2 linked regions of the Mytilus edulis genome follow. The protein of the gene in region 1 binds, or shares a complex with, the protein of each later gene. Links are inferred from orthologs where the notes say so. Each region holds a gene or a part of one and is shown on either strand. Other genes may lie near its edges.

Evidence for each region.
Region 2: trafficking protein particle complex subunit 9-like (region 1) and trafficking protein particle complex subunit 12-like share a complex: the UniProt entries of both Homo sapiens proteins name them as parts of the multisubunit TRAPP (transport protein particle) complex. The link is inferred for Mytilus edulis from reciprocal best matches to the Homo sapiens genes TRAPPC9 and TRAPPC12.

What each region holds. Positions count from the first base shown.
Region 1 is NC_092355.1:34,285,262-34,293,532, reverse strand, and holds the start of trafficking protein particle complex subunit 9-like, read right to left. Parts: upstream 3,437-8,271; 5' UTR 3,319-3,436; exon of another isoform or gene 3,302-3,318; intron 1-3,301. Other genes in the region: uncharacterized protein, read left to right, coding at 6,031-6,142, 6,936-7,563. UniProt on the Homo sapiens protein: Functions as an activator of NF-kappa-B through increased phosphorylation of the IKK complex. May function in neuronal cells differentiation. May play a role in vesicular transport from endoplasmic reticulum to Golgi.
Region 2 is NC_092344.1:109,873,955-109,882,025, forward strand, and holds the start of trafficking protein particle complex subunit 12-like, read right to left. Parts: upstream 3,867-8,071; 5' UTR 3,774-3,866; intron 1,613-3,773; 5' UTR 1,602-1,612; coding exon 1,394-1,601; intron 314-1,393; coding exon 1-313. Other genes in the region: EARP and GARP complex-interacting protein 1-like, read left to right, coding at 4,067-4,108, 5,331-5,414, 5,990-6,122, 6,817-6,961, 7,367-7,466, 7,831-7,967. UniProt on the Homo sapiens protein: Component of the TRAPP complex, which is involved in endoplasmic reticulum to Golgi apparatus trafficking at a very early stage.

The sequences.
Region 1 (8,271 bases):
GCTGAACGACAGGCCCCTGAATCAATCAGGACAGGTGCATAAACATGCAGCGGCTATAGATAGTTTTGTTTTGCCAGCATACAATATAATTGCAGTTGAAGGCAAATCCTTCAGAAGTTCTTTGTACTTTATTCTAACAACGAACATGTTTTGATAGGGAATATAAGTAAGGGGGAAAGAAACCAATGTTGATATCTTTTTATAATATTTACAAAAAAAACGGTGAGGGAAATAGACATGATTACATTTCCGGATGCGGGAAGCGGGAATATAAAAAAAATAAAAAAATTCTGTTTTGAAAAAAATAGGTGCGGGCGGGTCCGTCGAACAAGGAATCAAATTGATGTGGCCTAACATCCATTTTTTTAAACTATAGTTCAATTTACTTAGTTCATGCCATACATTGGCATGATTGCCATAGCTTGTTTTTGATGAGGCAGGGATTGGATACTACAATTTTTTCTCATACTGCTTTTACACATTGAATCATGATTATACTTTAGACCATGCACACAAATCATGTAAATCATGTTGATGATAAATTGACCGAGATAAACTAGCACAATTTGTAATAATTATAAACAAGGAATTTAAAAAAAATTTAGCCATTTCTTGGTAAATTGATAGTCCCTTTTGAATCAATAATTGTTCTATACCATACAGTCAGCATGGTCAGGGGTTATATTTCTAATAATATTTGCCTATTTTTCTTACATTAAAAAGTCGGAATTATCTCCCCTTACATTGTATCTTTCTTCTGTCCTTAGATAACTTGACATGTATAATAATTTTTGTGCATGACCACTGAAATTCTTAAGTTATTTGATTGGTCAATTTATGTCTTAATTTGAATTTGGAGTTTTATATCCTAAGAACTGTTATTTATATATATTTAATGTGTTTTCTTTAATTTAGTATTTTTACCACAAATCAGGCAGTTGTTTTCATAACTTGATTTTTCAAAATTTTGTCATCTCTGTTCCTCTTTATAGCTTGATCATGTTGTCAAACAGTGACCTATTATTATTAACATATAAATCATTTGAACACTGGAGGATGGTAATGTTTTACATGTTTTATTCATGGCAATCATACCAAATTTCATAATTTTAAATGATGAGGCCAAATAAAATAGTATGTGTGGTTCCAGTTACATCTGAAAAAAAGTTAGGGTAGGTCATGTAGGTAGGTAGGGATTATTTTTATTTTATGGTGTTTTTTTTTACATTGAGTCTATGGAAGCATCATTCTGACTTTAACAGTGCTTAATGAAAAATGACAATAAAATCTTTCGGGTACATGTAGGCTAATTTCAAGACGAAAAAGTAGGGAGGGTAGGGTCACTGGAACCACACATATATTTTTATTTGGCCTGATCTGTTGGAAAAGAGTCTGACCTCTATCCATGATATCACTGAGAATGCATCAGAGTGGTATCACCTCTGAACAACTAACTCATTTTTGTAACTCAAAATATGTGTGCCACCTCCCCTTTGCACATTCACCTCTTTTTCAAAACTGATCCATAGGCTAATACGTACAGACAGGTCCTCATTTTATAAATTATCTTTAACAATTTTCTCCTTGCGCAATACAATATATATATGTTTACCCCAAAATCCCCTCTGAATTCGTTTGTTAAAGGAAAGATCTTACATCATGTATACATACATGTATCTTTATGAATATACCCCATTTCCATTCTCAATTTTATGTACCTGCCAACTTTTCAAAATGTTCATGGGTGTTTTACGTGCAAGATGGCTCTTACCGTCTTAAAAAAACTTCAAGGGGATCTTCAAATGTACATGTATCTTATTGTTGTTTTTTGGCTTATTCATACTTTTTAAAGCATTGTAAAATTAACTGTTTTGTTTAAAATTTTGGACAAAATTGCTCTTTTAAAATATCTATTTGGGAGCTTTCATCGGAGAAATCCAATGCAAATAGTGACAGTTGGCAGGTATGATCTTAATGGAAAACAGAATAAAGGATTGCATCCTATCAATATTAAGGAAGCTGGCTTGTCATGTTTTAGATTTTTTGTCAGATTTTCAGAATCCTCTGGTTTTATCCATTTGAATGCCTTGAAAAAATTTGCCAGGTGACCCCCATTTTTCTTTTTGTAAATCTTTTACATGTATAATCATTGATAATGATAAGCCATCTGTTAAATTCTTATAAAATTTTAATTACTTTTTAACAATTTTTGAGAACTTCAACTTGTCAATGATAAAGCTATGAAAAGTCAAGAGAGAATATTTTCCCGCCAAAATTTCAATGGCTTATATTTTGAAAACAAGCACGGTGACCTATGTATTTTTTTTGCTCTTTGGATTCCTTTATTAATCCCCTATCTATACATGCTATACATTTGCTATATAAACTAGTGTTTTGAAAAGTTAATTACTCAAAGAACAACTTGTATTTACACAGACCTGCGTTAAACTTGTAGATTTATGAAAGGTACCACATCTGAGGTCAGCAGATATATGCATGATAATGAAACGGAACAGGTATATTAATAAAGATACTGAGCAGTTACATACATAGGTATAGGTATATGAGTATTCATAAAGATACAGAGCAGGTTCATTCATAAAGATATGGAGCAGGTTTATTCATAGATACATAGCAGGTATCTGCATAAAGATATGGAGCAGTTATAATCATAAAGATATGGACTGGAGCAGGTATGTTTATAAAGATACAGAACAGTTATATACATAGGCAAAGAGTAAACAGAAAAATACAGAGCAGGTTCACATGGTATATTCATAGGGGGGTCTCATTGGGGGGTTCTGATCCCGGATCCCACTTACTGTTTTGTCAGATTCCTGTATCCCACTTACACTATGTACGTAAGCAATTCTCATTTTTTTTGCAATTTCCCTTGTCCCGCTAAACTTCATTTCCAGTTTTCACACACAATAATTTGACTTTCGCGAGTCATGCTTACAAAATATCGGCAATACCGTGTCACGCTTAGACCCCAATGAGACCCATATGCATTTCATAAAGATACGGGGCAGGTATGTTCATAAATACACGGAGCAGGTATAATCAGAAGGATCATGGAGCAGGTATATTCATAAAGATATAGCGCAGGTATAGGTATAAAGGTTGTTAAGCAGATCTATATATACATCAAAGTGAAATTAATAATAACTTAAATTTGTTTGATTTCCACCTATAAAATTTGACAAATGTCTCATTTGATATGTCTGATTTTGTCAGACGAACAGGGGTTTTATCTGATTATTCTACAAGTTCAAAACTCAACTAAGTGAGTCATCATTACTTTATCAACTGACATACATGGAACATATTAAGAATTGTCGTCAGCTACGTTTCATTTCTGCAAAATATCAGGATCAAACTCAAAGTCTCGCCTCCTCTCGTGAGACAGCCATTTTCCGTAACGTGTCCGGGGTTTACTATTTTGACAGTACTTCCGGTGACAATTTTCTCTGTTTATTTTTTCTCTGATACAAAGTATGGCCATATATGCATTTTGCTCACATTCACAATGACTAAAAAAAAACATTTATTCCCACCAAAGTTGTTTTCAGGAAATGAATTTTCTTGAAATGTTTTACCCAGATAGATCAGTCGTACGTGTGCCAAATTAGGAGCACGATTTTCCTACCCTTCCGGAGCACCTGAGATCATGTACCCCTTTATCTAATCAATATGACAATGACTCTAAATATACTTACCACTACAAAACACCAGCAACAGTCCTAAAACTTATTTGTACATAAAGCGATTTTTAAACCTTCATACCTTAAAACCTAAATGTGTCAGTAAAACCATCTAGCTGCGGAACCGTATCTTTTAATAGTTTTATGGTCCTTTCTATATATCTTTTTTTATTTTGCGGATAGTCCACAAATAGAGAAAAAAAAATATAAGGACATGAGAGCTACGGTTCCTGTAGGTATAAAACAACCTTACCCAAGTACCCCGAAATTTAACTAAAATAAAAAAGGCCAATTTAATTTTTTGCTGTGATACATTCTTGAAATGTGTACAATTTGTGTACAATCTTGTGTACAATTTGGAAATTAGTATGGCGTTCATTATCACTGGACTAGTATATATTTGTTTAGGGGCCAGCTGAAGGACGCCTCCGGGTGCCGGAATTTCTCACTACATTGAAGACCTGTTGGTGACCCTCTGCTGTTGTTTTTTATTTGGTCGGGTTGTTGTCTCTTTGACACATTCCCCATTTCCATTCTCAATTTTATTGATGTCAGAGTTAAACAGTCATTCTCATCTTACGCTAGTGTCAAATTGGTAAAAAAATAAATAAAGTGATATATCAAAATATCCATTATATCGCTATTTGTCGGAGCAGGAACATATACATTGTATATTGAAGAGACTTGACACTACATGTAGTTACCTAATATTAGCCGATTTCATTAACAAGTCATAGTTAATCAATAACACCATACAGAAACCGACATCTGTAAAATATGTTCTCGCATTGACTAATTACTACTGATTTCATTAAATGCCAGTGCACCTAAATTGCATTCTGTCACATCAAAATTGTCATAATTCACATTAATTTCATCACAGAAGAGTACAAAATGCAAAAAGGGTAATAATAAAATGGCGCTGATGGCACTTTACATCAAAGAAATCACATGTATATTGGTAATTTTATACATGTATGACAAAATATACCTACATTAGAATGATTAGAATAAAATTTATATTTGTTGAGTTTGTTTTAATATGGATAATTTATTGAGCAATCTCAATGCTTTTGCAGTGTGATGCTTCAAAAATCTATTAATCTAGTAAAGTTTCATGTAGCTCGGTACTTTATTAATTTTATACTGAAAAGCCTTTATGCATGATCAGAATCATTTCCCTTAGATATACTGATCCCAGGTCAGAGGTCTCAAATAATTATTTGATTGTGATTTGTCAAAATCAGTTGATTTTTGTTATCAAGCATGTCAAGTAGAAAATGTATATTTTAGCAAAATGCACTAAATATTACCGTTGACATGGTTAACATCCTTTGGTAAGATTTTTTACCGATATTTTTCATGAATTGCAAAGGTACCCTTCTTCATCAAGGTTCCTTTATTACAACCCACCTTGCTATGACGCCTTCAAATAAATTCAGAATGGAAAAGGGGAATGTGTCAAAGAGACAACAACCCGACCATAGAACAGACAACAGCAGAAAGTCACCAACAGGTCTTCAATGCAGCGAGAAATTCCCGCACCCGGAAGCGTCCTTCAGCTGTTTGTCTTTCTTGCTGTGACACCTTCCTACTATGTCTTAAGCGTCCAAGCTTGTTTTTAAAACATGTTGAATAAACAAAGACAATCAACATCGACATTACAGTATTTTGAAATTTAAACCTGAAAGTTTTCAAAACATAGACTAAGGAGATGTATGAATCCTCGTATGATTGCCAATGAGACCTCTATCCACCTGGCAGCATGACCAGAAAACAAATGAGTAGATATAAGGTACACATGTACATGTACTGTAGGTCAGTGAATATATAGTCATTAATGATAAGTCAAACCCATACTAATTTGCAGGTTTCAAAAGGTGACCTATACATGTAGTTGTTAATTTCTGTGTCATCTGGTCTCTTGCGTAGAGTTGTCTCATTGGCAATATATCACATCTTTTTTTTTAAATTTCACATACATGACATAACAAAACGGAAAACAATTGAAATGAGAAAAACAACAAAAGCCTGATTTACGTACAAAACCAAAAAAACTTCAAACAAAAATAAATATATATATGATAAACATGTATGGTAACAAACAACAACCACTGAATAACAGGCTTCTGACTTGGAAAGTTTTGTGGCACAATCAATTAATTTGTTTAAATATTACATGTATTGGACATCTAGACATTACTGATAACTTTTAAATCACAAATTGCACTCTAATGAAGCAAATTTATGACATAACGCCATATTTCTATCCTTATTTTTGTAGCTATTGTCATGATTGTATAATGTTTCTAATTTATTTTTTAGAATGGATGGAAATGAGAATCATTTAATAGTTAATTTCACTATGGACAGCTCAAATATTATGAACAGTATTAATGGTGACGATAGTAATTCCACAACAGAAAATCTCCATTCTGGTAAAGATAGTTACCATGGTTACTTTTTATTGTGTTAGTAGGACGAGTCCTCAAACACATTCCTTTTTCTTAAGGTGGTACCCAACACTTTCACTAAAATTGATTTGACATGTTTAATTTTCATAAAATTTTGTCAAAGTACAAATGTATTTACTTTGACCCTTTAACAAAAATATAAAAATTTCAAAGATTTTGAACCAACCGTTTTGTCAGAAAAATTACACTGGTTATATAGCAGTTTGACATACACCAATTTTGATCATTGAGAAGCTTAATATTCCCTTTACAACACAACGTAATTAAAACGTTAAGCTGACTTTATAGAGTTATCTCCCTGTAGTGTTAGGTACCACCTTAATTTGCATATATTTTCTTGCTATACACACTGAGAGACAGATGATAAACAATGACAACATAATTTTGTAAACGTTTATACATTCATAAAATTGAAATCTTTTGAAATTTTAACTCTTACCATGTTTACAATAACTCAAATAATTCACTCCCTCTCCCATGTCCCTGTTAGATTTTCTCGTTCAAAAATGCAGCCATCATTGACATAGAGCAGCTGAATATAATGACTAACTTACACAGTTTATCTTGACAATAAATAAATTTGGGCTTTCAATGCTTTTATAACTTGTTACTAAATATCTGCATTTTTAAATTTCTTTTTTTAGAGCATTGCTGAGATGAACATGCTTCTGGCGTGAAAAATTTCAATCTTGGTATCTAGGACGAGTTAATAATGATAATCAATTTGAACAAAACTGATGACTGTCTTTTTTTGTAGGAATAGGTCGGGAAACACATGTAACTTATTTAATTTCTGGAGAAACACAGCATAATATTTTACCTGTAAAGTCTTGTGAACAGTCAAACATTTCCATTATGTCTGATGTAGATGTTAATTCTATTCCTGAAGATGCTGTTGTCATAGCAACAACAGATGGAGATATTAAAGAACATGTGATCGCTTTGCCAACAGAAAACACAATTGATGGCAATGAAAATACTGTTGCCATGGCAATAACAGACAATGACCTTAAACATAAGGTTATTTTGCCTGCAGACATTGATGACATTGGTACACAAGTCATAACAATTCCTATGGATATGTTGCAATATATGGATGGGAATGAAGGGCATGTCATCACCATACCAACAGAATATACCTCTTTAACTGAAAGTGAACATCAACAGGTCATCACCATGCCAACAGAATATGCAACTACGAATGGCTCTGGACATTTTGAATATGCAGTTAAAAATGAAGATGACCTTGGACAGGTCATCACCATACCAACAGATTCTGTTACTGAGGTTGACCTTGAAAAACTCATATCCATGCAAGGTGAAGGATCAGAAATGGAATCTCAGCCTCATATCATATATGTTTTGTCAAAAAATGAATCAGAAGTGTAAGTCTTTTGCAATATATATTTAGAAGCTTAAAGTCACTTTTGCCACTTATAATTTAGTATTTACAGTTTATTGTTGAGCTTTTTGATAATTTACTCACCCAAGTCTTGAGTTCTTTTACAAATGGACAGTTTATCATGTTCATTGTTTCCATTAGCATGATTAGTTGAACAATGTGGGGAAAAATGGTACAGAAAAAAAATCATTTCAGAAGAAAACAACTTTATTAAATAGTATCAATATAACATACACATGATGCATATATATATTTTTTATATATATATATATATATTAAATATATATATATATATGCATCATGTGCATGTAAATCGTCGCTCTTTTCTGTAAATTGTTGGACCGGAGTTTTTGTCATCAGTTATACATAATTGTTGGACCAGAGTTTTTGTCATCAGTTATACATATATATATATATATATACATAATATATATGTATAACTGATGACAAAAACTCTGGTCCAACAATTTACAGAAAAGAGCGACGATTTACAGAAAAGAACCGAAAAGGACAGAAAAGGACCAAAAAGAACCGAAAAGGACTGAACATGCTGAAAAGAACCGAAAAAGAGGATACATATATATTTATTATATAAAGTTAAAACAATGGATATATACACAGATTTTTTTATATTCTTACAATTTTTCATAATTATAATTCAAATTTAGATTGTGCATTTATTGGGATATGT
Region 2 (8,071 bases), on another chromosome or scaffold:
ACAAAATTGTCAAACACATTTTCTTCCAGAATCTTTTCTTCTGTTGTTTGAATAGCATCTTCTGATGATACATTTACAAAAGCTGAGCTATTGAAAGGGTCGTCAAGTGAGTTTTGATCAGCAAAATAACTACTTATATTCATTTGGCCTTGAGCCTCATTTGTGTTTTTTAGTTCCTTTACTAGACCAGGAATTTGATCTATCACTTTCTTTCCCACATCAGGTATTTGATCTATCACCTTTTTTCCCACATCAATCACAGTCTCTATTGTTTCTTCCAGAATACCAGAGGCAGAATCACTGTCTGTAGATTCTGTATAAGGTAGAAAATATATAAGAAATTATTCAGCAGGAAAACAAAAAGAGTCCAGACTACTGTTTGATCTTAGAATGTTGCAATAATAAAATGGCAGATGTACAAACATGGGTTACACTATATGCCCTGGCAACTTCAGACATGAACACATATATTGTATATCAAAATAGTCTACATTGTACAATAATTCATGTAAAAGGCTGAGGAATTGCTAATCTTATTATAAGAGGCATTTATCACCTACAGTTTGTACCTAGCCATTTTCAAATAAATGTTTTCAAACTAATTTGGCACTTTTCCCATATAAAACACATCATTAAAATTCAGTTTGAAAAAATAAACAATATTGCAATAATGTTCATGCTGTAAGGAAATTTGATTGTTTTATTGAATGACAGAGACTGGGATAAATATATCCACTTTTAATGTTCAAAATCTTCTAAAAATGTTCCAACAGGGTACATGTATATATTATCAAAAAATGCATGTACCAAAAATGTATCTTTGAAAACAAAGAAAATAACAGTAAAATAAAACATTAAAGACAGAACCTGATAGTCTTCATCAATTCATATTCACCAATCCATAGAAAATGTGCCTTACCTTGTAACAATGTATTAAGATGAATCAACTGTATATTTCCACAAGATTTGAATACAATTCAAGGCTGTGAAAGGTTAAAATTAAGTTAACATACATGTACATGTATGCATAATGTTACTTTGTTTAATAGTCATTTTGTTTTAAAGTGACATGAAATGAGGACACTTTTCAGGTTCATGTAAATTTAACAAGTTTGTCAAATACTTGTCTTGGTAAGATAAATGTTTATTTCATTATTTAAAGTTCACAACATGTACAATATATAATGCGAATTGGAAGTTAAATCTTGTAGTTAACTTGTAGTCAAGTTGTCTTTTAAGACTCTTTTTCTAGTATTGATTGATTGATTGTTCTTTGCTATACGCTGCATTAGCACAAAAAGGCTATATCGCGGCGAGAGCTTATTCAAATATTTTTTCTATTTTTTTCTAGTATTAAATCTCAACTCATTTTAAAATTACTATTCAATATAACCTTTAACTAAATCTGGTATGGCCGTAATAATATCTTGAACATCTTCCTCAACTGCTGTTGGTTCTAGATAAACAGAATCTAAAGTATCTGTTGTAGCAGAGTGTCTAAGAGTTGTCCCCCTTATAACTACATCAGGATTCTGGAGGTGGAATTCTTTTTCTGATAAAGATTCATCTTCTAAAAATTCTTCAACATTATCATCAGCCATTATCTACTTTACTGAAATGAATGTTTTGTGTTTAAATAATTACATGTAATATATTATTCAAATGTGTGTGTCATGATCAATAATGTAGAATTTACAAAAAATGTAGATGTTCAGCTAAACAATTTAAACTTTTGTAATGTTAATGAGCTCACTGACAGATTAGAACTAAATAGTTAAAATATCTTAAGAAATTGTACCGCTGCAATACAAAATGTGTAAAAATAAATTGATAAATTGATAAATATTGATAAATATCGTCATTAAAGCACAAAACTCTAAATAAGAGTTCACTTACCATTTCAACATTAAAGGGGCACTAGCTGTCAAATTCATGTTCACCGATTTTAATCAAATTCTCATGTTTAATTTATAACAATGTAAAACATTTATACAAAATATCAAAAGTCTAAAATAAACAATTAACAGGGCACCGCATGAAAATATGTAGCTTCATTTCGTGTGTATTTTAGTCTAAACGCCATCTAATTAATTGTCGAGTTGACCCCTAAAGTCATCCGTCCCGATGACCATATAAGCAATGTAAACATAAATATAGATATAAATAAATTAAGCAAACTCCTGCTATTCGGATTATTCTAGATCTATTTAATTTTATATTATACAATATACAAATTACATTCCATTAATGATTGAGCATAAGATATAATACATTTGATTTTTTATCAATCTCGTAGCTAGTGCCCCTTTAAGGAAAAACTCAACAAAAAATGTAAAATTGTTATTAATGGGCAATTTCTTAAAGAGTCGCCAGATGATTTCCTTGCTAAAAACCTTCTTGTAGATCTTGTTTTGCTCATCAAGTTTGCTTTATGAATAAATTTCCATCTTTCTATTATCATTTTTAACTTATTAGGCAAAAATGAGTAAAGATAATTATTAAATGACAAAAAAATCAATAAGGAGTCTTCAGACGATATCGACAAGATGTTTCGAGATATTTGAGATTTAAAATATGGCGGGAAAAGGCTGACTCAGACTTTTACCTTATATTTGCATTGGTATTATTTGGGTCTCAAAACAAAAGAAAGAAAATTAAGAATCTTCTAAAATGTTGGTAAATGACCTTTCATGAGCTATTAAGTCTTATATGAAAAAATAAATGGGTGTTATGGGGCAAAATATTTTACATTGTATTGTATGGAAAAACACCAAGGAGTCTGAACATTTGACAAAAATCCAAAACCTCACCTAAGTACATCCTTAATATTGATTTACTTATAGGGTCTTTGCATCGGAACTAAAGTAAACACATTTATTTTTAAAAAACAGTTGTTGGCATGACACGGGTTATGTTCTTCTCATATATTTCATGATAGTATGATACTGCTAATAGTTTGTTGTTATTTATGTATTATTGTCATTTTATTTATTTTCTTTTGTTACATCTTCTGACATCCGACTCAGACTTCTCTTGAACTGAATTTTAATGTGTGTATTGTTATGCTTTTACTTTTCTACATTGGCTAGAGGTATAGGGGAGGGTTGAGATCTCATAAACATGTTTAACACCGCTGCAATTTTGCACCTGTCCCAAGTCAGGAGCCTCTGGCCTTTGTTAATCTTGTATGATTTTTAATCTTAGTTTCTTGTGTATAATTGGAGTTTAGTATGACGTCCATTATCACTGTACTAGTATACATATTTTTTTAAGGGGCCAGCTGAAAGACGCTTACGGGTGCGGGAGTTTCTCGCTACATTGAAGACCCATTGGTGGCCTTCGGCTGTTGTCTGCTCTATGGTGGGTCTCATTGGGGTCTAAGCGTGACGTGGAATTGCCGATTTTTTTGTAAACGTGACGTCACAGGGGAAAGTCAATTATTGTGCCATGAAAACTAGAATTAAGGTCTAGCGGGATACGGGAAATTAACAAAAAAATGAGAATCGCTTAGGTACATAGTATAAGCAGGATACGGGAATCTGACAAAACAGTAAGCGGGATCTGGGATCAGACAGCCCAAATGAGACCCCTCTATGGTCGGGTTGTCAGGTTGTCGCTTTGACATTCACCATTTTCCATTCTTACTATTTGTCATTATATAATTTCAGACTCCAATGTTAATGGGGTATGAAAGGATAAGCATACAGGACATTCTGTCATAGACGTTAGGGGCAAACAGTATATATAAAAGAAAAGGGTAAATTGAAATCAACCTGCTAATTTTTTCGACGAACGGACACTGTGCTGTGTATACGTCATCAAATTATGTGTAGAATGTCATAAAAAATAATTTCATGAATGGAATAAAAAAGAGTATTGAAACAGATTACATTGCCATCAAATACATTTTGTCTGGCATTAGCTACAGTTATTTGTTTTAAAATAATAATTAAATAATTTTATGTTTTACTTTTTACGACTGCCGAAAATTGACTTAGGCTACTGGTTTCCGTTTCCCCCCATCCCCTGTCCGACAGAAATAATTTTAGGGACCAGACACACAGATATGGACGACGAATCGCCGGTTATTTATGGGCTAGAATTTCAGGTTATCTCCGTTATATTTGATAAAAACTGTTAAAAAATGCTTTTCCTGGAAGATAACCATAATGTCAGCTTCTCATACTAATTGGTTTTGTAAGGCATCAATCGCTTTAGAACTCGTCCCAAATTAGTCCAAATAATAAATTATATGAATATGACATCTTGCAAGGCTATTATATTTTTTTCTTTCAAAGCAAAAAAGCCTTCCAAGACGTTATAAATATTTTGACTAGTCCCAAATATAAATTGGATAGTTGCCCGTCCAAAATGGATGCACTGCTTCTTTGCACCTGGAGCCGACTGACGTCCTTGAGTCTATATAAATCGGGTCTCAAGAATTTTTTTCATTTCTAATCCATGATTCATTTATGTAAGTTTCATCTACCTGCCATCCTTTATTTTTTCATAATATGAGGCAGGCATAACCTGTGAATGGGGACGAAAATGTTAAAATAAGAGATTTGACCCCGATTTCATGGTCCACTGTACATGTTCTATGGACACATTCTAGTTTGCATATGGATAGGACAATACACCTTATCGCTAATCCCGGCTGACCTGGCCGCTTGAACTTTTGACGCATACAACAATCACTTTTTAATTGTGGCATCAGCCATTTTGTTTTATGACGTCATAATTTTACAGGAACCTGTGTGATATCCAGTAATGGCGGACAAATAGCGATAAGGTGTATATAAGTTCATACATGCAAGTGCCCACAAAAAATTTATATATGCAATGATAGTTACAAATAGTATAAATATAACATTAAACAAATGGTATTCAAAGAATACAAAAAAAGTTAAAAACAAAAACTTTAGATCCAAACCACAAATCTAAGAAATAGAAAACAACTTGTAAATATATATTGCTATTAGCAAAGGCCATCAGCAGGTTTCAATGCCTGAATTCAGAGTTAGAGCACAGGTGTAAGAAGATTTTACAGGTAAGACAGTATTTTTTTAGCGGGAAGTAGAGAGCATGTTAGTAATAAGGTGTGCTTGATTTGGAGTTGTCATTCGTCAATGTAATATGATAATCAGTACAAATGATGAACATGACACATGAAATATGATATGAGTACATGTTTAACATGTAAAAGCTTAATAACAATATTAAACATAAAGAAATAGTGCATGCAGTCGCAGTGACACAATTATTATTTGTATAACTCTTCTATAAATTTAAGTTATTAATAGAATGATATTTTTTTTATCATTCAACAGGCCAAAGCATTAACTGCACAAACAGGAGAAACTGATAAGATCAGGTTTCTTGTTGGAACTCAGTCTTTACGAGTAGAAAATCAGGTAAATCAGCAGGAACAAAATTCTTCATTAAACATGAATCATTATTTAAATATCTTGACACATTGTATTATTATTGAAACCTTAATATACTGAATTGGGCAAAGAAATAATTTTGATAAGCATGATTATTTTTCACTACCTTTGTTCTATCCTATGTCTTTGTTTCATTTTCTATTGCTTACTTGGTCAAATATGATGAGATGCCTGATGGGTTCTGGTACACTTGAGGTTATAAAATCTGTGCTAATCAGTTAAAACTTAATAACACTATAAAAATAAGGAGATGTGGTATGATTGCCAATGAGACAACTATCCACCAAAGTTCAAATGAAGTGGATATCAGCAATTATAGAATGTATAGGCAACCATAAGGCCTTTAAAAATGAGACTTCTATTCTACATGTCTGTATAACAACAGATATGATACCTAAAGATTCTGTCAGTTTTATAATTATGCATAACCTCACTGGAAAACCTAATTTTCAGTATAACCTGATACATGTGTGAAGTCTAATTGAGTTTTGAATGATATCCCATCAGGAAAAAAATGATTCTGATGTTATTTTATTTTCCAGATTCATCACATTGATTTTGATGATGAAAACAACATCATTAACAAAAACATTTACCTACATCCTGAAGGAGAGATCTGGAATATTAAGGCCTCAACCATTGATAAAGACTTAATGACAACATGTTACAATAAAAGTAAATTTAAGTTAAGCTAAATATTTGGAATGGGTAAACCGTATTAAAGGGGCACATAACAAGCATCTAATCAAATTGACAAAGAACCTTAATCCCTGAAGTCATCAAAATAAAATAAAATGACTGTATATAATAAAAAAGTAAGTTGATTAGATTTTTTTTTTACCATCCTGCCTCTTATTTCAGATCTTGGACATGACTGGTATACATGTATCGCATAGAAACTAAAATTAAAAAAATACAAAATCACCATCAAGGACAACCTAGTCATCTGTTTCTTTATAAAATTACAGATAAATAAAGAGTTAACTAAATTGTATTTGAAATATTAGTAAACAATAACTAAGATGATGATTATACCTGTACATCATCATTCAATGGTATAAACACCTCAGTGAGTACTAAGTAGTAGAATTCTTGCTTTGAGTGTGGAAGGTCCTCAGTTCAATCCCAAGTCACAGCAAATCAAAGGCTTGAAAATTCATATTTGCTGCTTGTCTGATAAGTACACAGCAGTTAGCAGTAAGAGCAAATACTGGTTTGCTCAGAGTCAGAATATGTCTACGTAGGATAACACATCCTTTTACAGACTTGTGAACTAGTATGTTGAAAATTAAATTTAAAAGTTCTGTATGTCATTTTAGTATCAAGCAGTGTTTATATTCATAATACATTAATATGTTTTTATCTGCAGCATCAGAATCAAAGACAGAAATGAAGGCAGCTATTTGGAGACTACCATCTGATTTTGATAGTGGTCAAGCAGATGACCAGTCAGCACATCCAGCTGTGCGATTGGTCTGTCACCTGAATAACTCAGAATATGGTGACATGAAAAGGTCTGTTTATAATTTTGTGCATGTTTTAATCAGAGGTAAATCATGAATGTATTAAACCAGTCACAGAAAAGTTAGAAAAAAAGCATTATAAATAATATTCATGTTCAAACTCACAGATTGTGTGTGTCTGTCTAGCTCAATAAACTCATCATATATAGATACCAGGATTGGAATATCAAATGCACATTTTGTATTCCTCACGTTTAAATAATAACACAAAAAAAAGGCCTCACAAAGTTCCAAAAAAGCAGAGTAAACATTCAAATCACTTTAACATTTTCTTGTCCTGAATATATACATTTAAATTGCTTGTGAAATGTAAAAGAATCATCAGCCTCTTTTTCAAATGTTATATCTGAGCTGGTATTTACTTACATGAAATCAACAATATCCTACTTTTTACAGTGTTTTATGGCACCCAACCGGAGATACTTCAGCTGTGATAGGCTTTGCAGATAACCATATAGTATTGTGGGATATTGACACATCTTCAAGCACTGCAAAGGTACTTATTTCAACCCTTCTTTCAATTGTGGTAAAATAATCTGTCAGAACTTTTTTTTAAACAAAAACTAAACTGTGTTATCATCTGACATCATACATTAACAGCATAATCTAATATTTCTATATTTTGTCTTGCAACTGATATTTATTTTTCTTATGCAAAATCACACCAGGATCAGAATTACCTCCCTTTGTCTTGCTACTTGTAAAGTCTTTGGAATTTCCAATTTTACAGTTAATAAATTACATTTTTTAGTGATCTAAACTTTGCAAAAAAAAGCAAGTATGATTTAATTGTATAAAATGAACAATATTTTTTCATACCCTGAAAATGTGTAAGTATTGCATTCAAAATCTGTTAACAGATGACAGCTTCCACAGGATTAGATAGTAAAGGTAACTCCAAATTCACCTGTGGTCAATGGAATCCTCATCATAATTGTACACAGATAGCCACTGCAAATGACACACACATACGAGGATGGGACATTAGGACTATGCAGTAAGTCTTTACCGCTATAAATGACTCACAAAGTCTTTTCTAAAACCATAATGATACACACAAATGACATAGGCATAATAATACCCACAAATGACATAGGCATA